Linked DNA regions of Arabidopsis thaliana. The protein of the gene in region 1 interacts with the protein of each later gene in a pairwise test. Each region holds a gene or a part of one and is shown on either strand. Other genes may lie near its edges. The genes, in order: CRK2 and MLO9.

Region 1 (5,436 bases):
AGATTGTTCCCAGAGGACAAGACTCATATCAGCACTGCCATCGCCGGTACACTGTAAAGTCTCAAAACTTATCTTTGTAACTTTAATATCTCTCTCTACCGTTTCTTGTGTTGTTTCTGAAGATTCTTACTTGTGGAAACAGAGGCTACATGGCACCAGAATATGTAGTACGAGGAAAACTAACTGAGAAAGCAGACGTTTATAGTTTTGGAGTTCTTATGATTGAAGTTATAACCGGAAAACGTAACAATGCCTTCGTACAAGACGCTGGTTCGATCCTACAATCGGTAAACTAACTCTCTACAAGTAGTTCAAACATTTTCTTGATTTTAGATCAAATCCTTTTTCTTGAATCTTGAAAACATATTTTAGGTATGGAGTCTGTACAGAACAAGCAATGTGGAAGAGGCAGTGGATCCAATCTTAGGTGATAACTTCAACAAGATAGAAGCGTCACGGCTACTTCAAATTGGGCTTCTCTGTGTTCAAGCAGCGTTTGATCAGCGGCCTGCGATGTCTGTGGTTGTGAAAATGATGAAAGGGAGTTTGGAGATTCATACGCCGACGCAACCACCGTTTCTGAATCCAGGAAGTGTAGTAGAGATGAGAAAGATGATGATGACTCCCACGACGAATCAGTCTAATTCTTCAGGATCAAGGAGTGACTACATAACCGAGGGTTCGAGTTTCTTTGAACCTAGATGAGGTTTTAGATCGTGTTAGATATATCAGTATCCTTTCGTGTGGATTCTGAATCATCTTGTGTCATATGTACAAAAATTGAGATGCCAATTAATCGTGTGTTAGCTAGGAACTGAGGGTTACTTATGTGCCACGACAATGTCATAGAAGCTAGGAAGTGAACAATGTAGAGCTTACATGACGGGGACAGATTCCGGTTTAGCCTCGGTTTTGATTGTAGTGATTCGGTTTACGGTTCAGTAGTTTTATTTTGTGTGTTAATTTTGAGTAGCTTTGTATATTAGTAAGCGGTTTTTGTGTTTGTTCTCGTTTTAACTTTACAAAAAGAGAAAGAGTAAATGTCATATTTAAATAGAAAAATGCAACCACAAATGCAAAGAAATTCGAGTAAAACCAAATAATGCCATAAGGATATTTACCTAAGAATCAAAATATGAAACATATTAAATGTACACAAGAAAAAAATCAAATCACTAAAAATTCACTAAATTTATTACCGCAAAGTTTGGATCATGATCTCCTAATTTTTGCACAAGTGGATTCGAATCAAGGACTTTTTATCAGTGTTTTTGTTTTCTTTCAAGGAAGCCATAGGAGACTACTAGATAGAAACACATATACTACATATGTCTTTATTATAGCCAACTAGATTTAACATTTTTAGAATTGAATGTCCAACTACTTCTCATTTTTCTTTGCAATTGATCTTGAATAAAACTTTGACCATGGCAACATGTAAATGGTATTTTGTTATATATATTTTTATTATTTGTACAACTTTTATTGTACTATACCAACTAGGCCTACTAAATCAACCCAACAAATTGACAAAAAAAAAATCAACCCAACAAACCTATTTCTTTATTTAAAGTAGTCTAACGTCACTTTATCCATTTTCTTGAATGTCATCTTACTAAACACTACGCATATGTGACGTTTTCTTTTTTCTTTAACTAATCAGAAAATTGAATTTTTCATGATACCGGTAAAGAGATTTATCCAATTAAACCGAACCGGCTCCACATAAGATAAGCTCTATTAATTATTAGTCCACTGGTTTTTAGGTTTATGAAAACGACAAATATTTGAATGAAGACAACGACTTCAACAACATGATCGAGCTGGTTTGGTTTCCAAGTGTGAATTCAAGACTAAGAAGAAATCCAACAATCTCCATTATCAATTTTTTTTATTAACTTTTTGACTAAACCAGTAGAGAGAGAGAGAGAAAGACAGCAAATTTGGTTGACTCTAACAAACCAATATCATCAAAGTCAAGCAGTTGAAAATTCTTCAATTTCATCATCTCCAATTCTTAATCTCTCTGCTTCTTCTTTCTTCACAACTTGAAACAGAACACAAAACCCTTGATGAGGGAATAAAAAAAGGAGATCTCTTTCTCAATCAAACAAAACAAAATGAAGAAAGAACCTGTCCATATCCTTCCTCTGTACCTTCCATGTCTCTTGATGTTTCTTCTTTCATCACTCCGTCAAATCACCGGAGACGCAAGGGCTAGAGCCGTTAAAGTCACTTGCTCACCTTTGCTTGAGCACAACGAAACCGCTTATGTCCCAAATTTCGTAGCCACAATGGAGAAAATCAGCACACAAGTACAAACTTCCGGTTTTGGAGTTGCTCTCACCGGTACAGGACCAGACGCTAACTATGGTCTTGCGCAGTGCTATGGTGATCTTCCTTTAAACGATTGTGTACTCTGTTACGCGGAAGCAAGGACGATGCTTCCGCAGTGTTATCCTCAGAACGGAGGTAGAATCTTTCTTGATGGATGTTTTATGAGAGCTGAGAATTATAGTTTCTATAATGAATACAAAGGACCTGAAGATAGCATCGTATGTGGAAACACGACGAGAAAGAATAAGACTTTTGGTGATGCGGTGAGACAAGGGCTGAGAAATGCTGTTACTGAGGCTTCTGGGACTGGAGGGTACGCTCGTGCGTCTGCAAAGGCGGGTGAATCTGAATCTGAATCAGCGTTTGTGTTGGCGAATTGTTGGAGAACTTTGAGTCCTGATTCTTGTAAACAGTGTTTGGAGAATGCCTCTGCTTCTGTGGTTAAAGGATGTTTGCCATGGTCAGAAGGACGTGCGCTTCACACTGGATGTTTCCTTCGGTACTCTGATCAAGATTTCTTGAATAAGATACCAAGAAACGGAAGATCAAGAGGTAACACAATAAAAAGATTCATGCTTTCTATAGAATCTCATTCGCTTGATGGTCATAAGTAATTGTTTTTGCAGGCTCTGTGGTAGTGATTGTGGTGTCAGTACTTAGCTCTGTGGTTGTCTTCATGATTGGAGTAGCAGTAAGTGTTTATATCTGCAAACGTCGGACCATAAAGAGGAAGAGAAGAGGTAAGATTAGTTTCTTGATTTGTGATGAATTGGTTTAAGAAGGATTGAGTGTTTTTAACCGAGATCTTTGGTGCTTAACAGGATCAAAAGATGTTGAGAAAATGGCGAAAACACTAAAAGACAGTAGCTTGAATTTCAAATACTCAACACTAGAGAAAGCCACAGGTTCTTTTGACAACGCGAACAAGCTTGGACAAGGCGGATTTGGAACTGTCTATAAGGTATGTGTGTGTATGATCATGTCTCTCTTTCTATACCTTCCTGTAAAGCAAATGAGTGATATAGTGGTATCTCTCTGGCTTGTTTAGGGGGTTCTTCCAGACGGAAGAGATATCGCTGTGAAGCGGTTATTCTTTAACAACAGACATAGAGCAACCGATTTCTACAATGAAGTCAACATGATCAGCACTGTTGAACATAAGAACCTTGTTAGGCTGCTTGGTTGCAGCTGCTCAGGACCAGAGAGTCTCCTTGTCTATGAATACCTTCAGAACAAGAGCCTTGATCGATTCATCTTTGGTAACTACTACTAATAATACTATATGATGAGTTTTTATTGTTGAATCTTGAATGCAGCAGCACACTAAACCTGTCTTCATTATTACTTTTGCAGACGTGAACAGAGGGAAAACATTAGACTGGCAGAGAAGATACACGATCATCGTTGGAACCGCTGAAGGATTGGTGTATCTGCATGAGCAGTCGTCTGTGAAAATTATTCACAGAGACATAAAAGCAAGTAATATTCTGCTAGATTCAAAGCTTCAAGCTAAAATCGCCGATTTTGGTCTGGCGAGATCATTCCAGGACGATAAGAGCCATATTAGCACTGCCATTGCAGGGACCTTGTAAGTATATATTCAGAAAAATGTACCATTTCTTCAAAAAGATATGAATGTTTGAGCTGATCCAATACTTGTGAAACTGCAGAGGTTATATGGCTCCGGAGTACTTAGCACATGGTCAGCTAACAGAGATGGTAGACGTTTACAGCTTTGGAGTTCTTGTACTAGAGATTGTAACTGGAAAACAGAACACCAAAAGCAAAATGTCAGATTACTCAGACAGTTTGATCACAGAGGTAAGTTAGACATATTTTGTCTATGGGTCTGCAGGTTTCACTTCTCAAACTAATTGTGGTGTTATGTTTTTTATTGAAGGCATGGAAGCATTTTCAGTCAGGAGAGTTGGAGAAAATATATGATCCAAACCTCGATTGGAAGAGTCAGTATGACAGTCACATCATCAAGAAAGAGATAGCAAGAGTTGTTCAAATAGGGCTATTGTGCACTCAAGAGATCCCTTCGCTAAGACCACCGATGTCTAAGTTATTACATATGCTAAAGAACAAAGAGGAGGTCTTGCCATTGCCGAGTAATCCTCCGTTTATGGATGAAAGAGTCATGGAACTTCGAGATGGTTCTGATGGTGATTCAGCTGGTTGTGCATCTCTTGCCACTGTCTCACAAAGTTCCTTTTATGGTAGATGAGCTTTGAAGAAGTGTATAAGAAGAAGAGAATACAAAATCTTTGATCTTTGAGCAGAAACTAAAATTTTGTGTATAAACCAGTGAGAGAAGCTAGATAGTATAGGTAAGTTATATCTTATGTATCATACTTGATAACAAAAAAAAAGTACTCAATAATTCAAGCTCTAGGTGCGATTTCTTCAACCAACCCATAGCTTCAAACATTTATCTTTAATAGTTTGCAAGCTTATAAACGGACTTGCGAGTTTGCAAGAGAGAAGACAACAGAAACAAAGAATGAAATGTCTGAGAATTTCCCAACATATGCCATCTTCAAAAAAATGTTATCCTCATCCACACCAGACTTGCAAACATATAAGATTGGTGGTTCAATGCAGCAGTTTAAGGTAGGTACTCGAGCTCAAGCTTTGTTGTTGTTTGTGCTCCTGCTTTCTTGTTGTGATCTCAGAACCAGGCTGCTTCTATCTGGACACATAGATCAGAACTTAGAAACTATGTGCTCCTGCTTTCTTGTACGGGATCTCAGAACCAGGCGGGCTTCTCTCTGGACAAATAGAGCAGCATTGGTAGGTTGATGTCAACGTGTGTTGTATTTGTCAAGTCCTCAGAAACTGGCTTCTGCTCCACAAACCAAGACTACCTGTAGCAACCACCACAACATATGTTAGGAACAGACAAATTTTTGTATACAAAGAAACCATTTAGAATAAAAGTAGCAATGGAGTTGAAATTATTCAACTTCTTAAATTGATCATCATTCATGTTCTCTCTTACCTTTTGATATATAATATTTTGTGAGCGAAAAAGATGATTCTTTGTAAACGTTATATCGAAAAAAAGTTTCAACCAAAACGTAACTTCCTTTTTGG
Region 2 (6,237 bases), about 11 Mb from region 1:
CCAATCTCTTTGTAATGTCTTTACATCATTTTGCAGGGATTTGTGATAGTGTCAACAAGCATCTTGTGTAGTTGCCTAGTTGGAAGTCCTCGGTGATTTGAATTGTATTATAAACATCTTGTGTAGTTGCGTGTATTATAAGACATTGTTTTGGAATAATTTAAATTTTTGTTTCTTAAGAAACCAATAGCTCTTAACCATTGGAGTAGAAATTAGTTAAGTTTTTGTTAACTTTTCTTAACTTAGTAAAAGCAATATTTTAATTTAAAATAAGGCTAAGATTCAAAATTAAAAACCAATTGGTTCTAAACCATTGGAGTTGCTCTTATAACTCGAAATTCAAATTTTAGGGGTTTAACAACTTACAAGGTTACAAATAAAGTATCAACATTGATGGGGTTGAGGCAAGAAAAAGGAAATTGTGTGGGGCTACAACTCGACAACCCAATTAAATAAGAAAACTAGGCATGACCATTGTTACGGTTATAAAGTTTCTTTAATCGTAACCTTAACCATTATATATACGGTTAAGATGGTTATATTTAGATACAATTACGGTTGAATACGGTTACAGTTACAATGATTACGGTTAAATATGTTTATGGTTATTCGACTTTTTTATTGCTTTTAAAAATGAAAAGTATGTTTTAGATTATTTTTATATGCGATATTATTTACTTTTTTGAAATTCTTTTCCTGAACATTTGATATATATTTTTGTATTACAAATATTTAAAATTGTATTTTTACGGTTTTAACTATGTTGTTATCTATGTAGTTAATCGTACGGTTCACCGTACTTTTAACTACGAGTTTGATATGGTTACGTTTTATTGACGGGTATAGTTAGTATATTTTTTTTAACTGTAACTATTCCATTTTTATTGTCAACACTTACGGTTATTAACCGTTTTATACGGTTACAGTTTGAAAATAGTCCGGTTACGGCCCGAAATACGGTTACGGTTTAATTTTGGTCATGTCTAAAAAAAACTAACAAATATATGCTAATTTGCGGGTTAGGCAAAAATTATTTTGATCCAAAAATTTCCGAATATCCAAAAATTCGAATATCCAGATTTTTTTGTGATATTTGCGGAAATTCGCTTTGATACATCTAATTATTTTTCTCAAAAAAATTGTTTGACATGATGTCAAAATAAGTTCCAAAAAACAGAACATAACTATTTTTGATATCACTGATCAAGAAAATACCATCAAACTAATTCTAAAAACTAAGGGCATCTCCAACGCAAAAAGATGGTGTGAGTCTCTCAATTATATTTTTTAATCAGTTAATAATAAATAAATCATTTATTTAAATTTTAAATTATAAATAAAAAAATCTGACCAATCATAAAGACACAAGTATTAAAGTGGGTTTCTCATATGAGAAACGTATCTCTTTCTCTTTCCACCTTTTTCATTACTTTTTATTTTTTTAATCTTCAGTTACTCATTGAGAAACTGTTGTTGGAGATGACCTAAAACCTGATAGTTTAAGATACCACTAACATGAAAGAAAAATGATCAAACTTACATCTTAACATAAAAACACAAGATTTCCAAAGAAGAAAAATACTGAAGTTACAAATATAAACCCAAAAATATATAAATATACAAACTATATTATGATATTTATATATATACATAATTATATATTCTAATATATATATATATATATATATATAAAATACGAATCAAAGCGGATAATATTTGTTATTTGCATCGATTTTTACGAATATTATATTTTCCTATTTGATTTGCTTGAAAATCTTACGGATATTCGGATTTTTGAATCAAATCAAATAAAAAACTGAGTCGAAACGGATCTAATGAATATTTTGTTCGGGCCTAGCTCTAAAAATTGTCTCTCTTTAATATGATGCGAGTCTTCTGTAATATGATACAGATTTTTTTACTTATATCCTATTAAAATAGTATAAATTAGGCGATGGTATCACTTTTCCCACTATTTTCTACATTTTATGCAGTAAGAAATGGAACAATTCTTTGTAGTACATAAAGACGATTTGTCCAGTTTATTTTCTTCTTACTAGCATTTTAATTGCACATGCTTTTTAATTTTGCATGCTAGTTTAATTTATTAATTATTCTAACGAATACTATATATCTAGAATCCAATTGCTTAATGATGTCTATTGTAGTTTGCTAACGACGTCTCTTTAATTCTCTCATTTTTTTTCTTCTAAATTTCCTCCACCAATTATTCCGTACTCGTTCTTCTCCATACATTCCCACTTAAATAATGTGGAAACCTGTAAAATAGGGAAGACAATAAATTGATAAAAAAAACAAAATTAATATTTTTTAAAAAATAACTCACCGGATTTGTCTACACTCTTATCTACTATTTTCGCATGCTCGTCAATGGCAACATCATCCCTTTCCTTTTCATTCTCTCTATCTCTTTGACTTCATTTTTATTGTCTCTTCTCTTTTGAAATTGAAATTCTGATACCAAACACATACTAAAAAATAAAAATAAAAAGATAATCATCACGGTTTTAAGTAATGGCTGGAGGTGGTGGTGGAGGAGGTGGCGAAGGTCCAAGACAGCTAGACCAGACCCCGACTTGGGCCGTTTCTACAGTTTGTGGTGTTATCATCTTGATCTCCATTATTTTGGAACTCATCATTCACAAAGTCGGCGAGGTGATTTGATAGAGAACACCATTATACCTTATGGATGTATATATGCTTTGCATTTGCTACTTTTTTGGTTACACTTAATTCCATGCTTGTAGGTTTTCGAACGAAAGAAGAAGAAAGCTTTGTTTGAAGCTCTTGAGAAGATTAAAAATGGTAACAATATAGAAATTATTTTTTTTGGTTTCTTGAAATCAAGGAACAATTGTTTTCGTTCATATATATATATATATATATATATATATATATATATATATTTTCTTTATTAATTTAAAGACGATAATACAAATATATCAGTGAGCACACAGATTGAAGCTCTACAAACCACACAACCAATATATGAGTTTAACAAAGTAATCAAAAAAGTGAAAAACACGTTGATTTCCGTAATAGATAAGCCTCACACGCTAACAGAATAAATCAATCTGTTATTTTCTTTGACCGTCTTCGTCTTCAATCTATTTTGGTCTTCTGGTTGGAGTGCTATCTTTTCTTTTATGTAGTGAAGATGGAATTTTTCGTGTGGTTAGCGTATGGTTAGGGATGTAACTGATGGATCGTATCCCTATTATTTTCATGAAAAGTTTTGGTTCCTATATATATATATTTAACTCAAAATTATGTTACATATTGTAGAGCTTATGGTTTTGGGATTTATTTCCCTGCTTCTAACATTTGGCCAAAACTACATTGCGAGCATATGTGTTCCATCAAGATACGGCCATGCAATGTCTTTTTGTGGTCCATATGATGGACCTAGTGAAGATGATCGTAAAAAGCTCAAGAAAACAGACCATGCAATGCGTATTCTCTACTCTGTTCAACGTCGTTCTTTGGCCGACGCTCCTCCAGTAAATTGCAAGAAAGTAATATTAACTACTGTTTCAGCATAAAAGTTTTAAGTAGTTTTATTAACTTATTATTTTGTTATCGTTTCAGGATTATGTCGCACTTATATCATTAAACGCATTACATCAAGTGCATATATTCATATTCTTCTTGGCCGTGTTCCATGTTATATATAGTGCTATAACCATGATGCTTGGAAGAGCCAAGGTATATTGGTAGAAATTTTTCACATTGTATATATGTGTTGATGATGATTTTAATTGAACTAATTCGTTTTTTCGTAAACATAGATTCGTGGCTGGAAAGTATGGGAGCAAGAGGTCATCCATGAACAAGAAATGATGAATGGTAGAGTGAACTTTATATTTTGCATGGTGATCAAAATTTTACTGTCCTAGCTAATCAAAATTTTACTGTCCTTGCTATTTTTATTTTTTTAATACAGATCCATCAAGATTTAGACTCACACATGAGACATCATTTGTCCGAGAACATGTCAATTCTTGGGCTAGCAATAAATTCTTCTTCTACGTTGTACGATTTTCTTAAATTCTAAGTGTTATTCTTGCACAATTATCATCTCTAATCTAATGGAACTAGAGGTTAATTTTCAGATGTGCTTCTTCCGTCAAATACTTAGATCAGTGAGGAAGTCTGATTACTTGACAATGCGACATGGATTCATAAGTGTGAGTGCATTAATATCTTACATTAATTCTCCATTAATATCCAATTGTTTGTTGCTCTAAAACCCTATGTATTTAGGTTCATTTGGCACCTGGTATGAAGTTTGATTTTCAAAAGTACATCAAAAGATCTTTGGAAGACGACTTCAAGGTGGTTGTAGGAATAAGGTAACTCATATCCTCTTTCACATTTTTAGTCTAGTTTGCTTTATTTGTTTCTAATGAAATCTACCACTGATGATGACAGACCCGAGCTTTGGGCCTTTGTAATGTTGTTTTTACTCTTCGATGTTCACGGTTAGTCTTTAGTTTATCGTACTTCTACATTATGATATCTTGACTTACTAATAATTGATCTATATATAAAAACAAAAAACTTTATAGGATGGTATGTTACTGCCGTAATCACCATGATTCCTCCTCTAGTAAGTCATTAATTTATCTACTATACGAAGCTCATTCTTACTTCAAAAAGATTAAAGAACATTTTATGAACTAATTGTGGTTTATGTTTAAAGTTAACACTAGCCATAGGAACAAAGCTACAAGCCATTATATCGTACATGGCATTGGAGATTCAAGAGAGACATGCAGTAATTCAAGGGATGCCAGTTGTCAACGTCTCAGACCAACATTTTTGGTTTGAAAAACCCGATCTAGTACTTCATATGATCCACTTCGTTCTGTTTCAGGTGAAAATTTATATAAGTGAATGATATATGTGATGTTTTAGTGATCCGAATCCGACACCATCCGAACCAAAACCGAACCGAATAGTCGTATAATCCGAACGGATAACAAACTCCCTCATCCGAATTATCCAAACTGAATCCGAACCGAAATCCGAATGCCTAAGCCTATGATTTAGTATAATTACTGATTTTATTTTTTTGGATACTTTTCAGAATGCTTTTGAGATAACTTATTTTTTTTGGATATGGGTAAACTTTTCAGAATCTCTTCTTCTAGTTTTTACTTTATGTTGGTACTAATTGCTTCTAGAAATTTTTATAATAATGTTATAATTATTCTTGTTGCAGTATGAGTTTGGGCTAAGGTCCTGTTTTCATCACCATTTTGGCCTTATAATCATTCGTGTCTGCCTAGGGTGAGTAATAGTATTATCATAAACAATTTTTTTTACCAAGTTTTCGATCGAGTTTGTGAAAATTGAATATATGGTCTTGGCTTTAGGGTGGGAGTACAATTCCTATGCAGTTATATCACATTGCCCCTTTACGCTCTCGTCACTCAGGTATGCAACATTTATATATCTTTTTTTCTTCCTTTGAATGTTTTCATAGAGTTAGTTGTTTTATCATTGCATAATTCTTTTACAATATATATTTTATAGATGGGATCCACAATGAAGCGATCAGTGTTTGATGAGCAAACTTCAAAAGCATTAGAACAATGGCATAAGAAGGCGAGGAAAAAGAATGAAAAGTGAGAATAATTGGCTTCTCCTTTTAATCTATGGATAGACCAAATTTAACAGTCTAATAGTTTGGTTACTTAATAGTCTATACACAATTTTTGGAAAATAGGATTTAGCTATGTAATTATTATTTATTATATAAATTCCTTACGTGGGTTTAATTTTTGAGTTGATTTTTTCTCTACATGTTTATCATGTCCTATTTATAGTTTTGTACAAAATAGTTTTGGAAAGGTAGAATTTTTATGCATTTGTACACTTTAGAGTTAATATATAAAAGACTTTCTTAGAAAAGAAAACCAGAAAAAAACAATACATAACATTAGGGAAAATTAGTTGAACCAATTCCTGAAATTTAAAAATTTGGTAAAAAGACATTTGACTAATGTTTGTTGCAGGTAAAATTTGAAACTCTTAAAAAATAATATACAAAACATAAATAAACAAATGCATCTTATTGTATAGTATGAATACCTCCAAGATCAACTAATGCAATTTCACATCAGGGTTCCTTATAGATTTAAGCCACATATCCGCCATTACTCTAGATGACAAGCTCCACAACATCTCCTCTTCTTCTTCTTCCTTCTCCTT

What was found.
Region 2: the proteins of CRK2 (region 1) and MLO9 interact in a protein complementation assay, tested with the Arabidopsis thaliana proteins (one large-scale study listed by BioGRID).

What each region holds. Positions count from the first base shown.
Region 1 is NC_003070.9:26,584,019-26,589,454, reverse strand, and holds CRK2 (cysteine-rich RLK (RECEPTOR-like protein kinase) 2), read left to right. Parts: upstream 1-1,826; 5' UTR 1,827-2,120; coding exon 2,121-2,889; intron 2,890-2,963; coding exon 2,964-3,077; intron 3,078-3,158; coding exon 3,159-3,298; intron 3,299-3,385; coding exon 3,386-3,596; intron 3,597-3,690; coding exon 3,691-3,925; intron 3,926-4,007; coding exon 4,008-4,158; intron 4,159-4,237; coding exon 4,238-4,567; 3' UTR 4,568-4,726; downstream 4,727-5,436. Other genes in the region: CRK3 (cysteine-rich RLK (RECEPTOR-like protein kinase) 3), read left to right, coding at 1-53, 143-287, 373-705.
Region 2 is NC_003070.9:15,979,627-15,985,863, reverse strand, and holds MLO9 (Seven transmembrane MLO family protein), read left to right. Parts: upstream 1-2,292; 5' UTR 2,293-2,535; coding exon 2,536-2,676; intron 2,677-2,768; coding exon 2,769-2,826; intron 2,827-3,306; coding exon 3,307-3,536; intron 3,537-3,609; coding exon 3,610-3,726; intron 3,727-3,809; coding exon 3,810-3,867; intron 3,868-3,964; coding exon 3,965-4,053; intron 4,054-4,133; coding exon 4,134-4,208; intron 4,209-4,284; coding exon 4,285-4,373; intron 4,374-4,452; coding exon 4,453-4,502; intron 4,503-4,589; coding exon 4,590-4,630; intron 4,631-4,723; coding exon 4,724-4,897; coding exon of another isoform or gene 4,898-4,921; exon of another isoform or gene 4,922-4,962; intron 4,963-5,110; coding exon 5,111-5,146; intron 5,147-5,245; coding exon 5,246-5,313; intron 5,314-5,399; coding exon 5,400-5,460; intron 5,461-5,559; coding exon 5,560-5,655; 3' UTR 5,656-5,729; downstream 5,730-6,237. Other genes in the region: PMI1 (plastid movement impaired1), read right to left, coding at 6,130-6,237.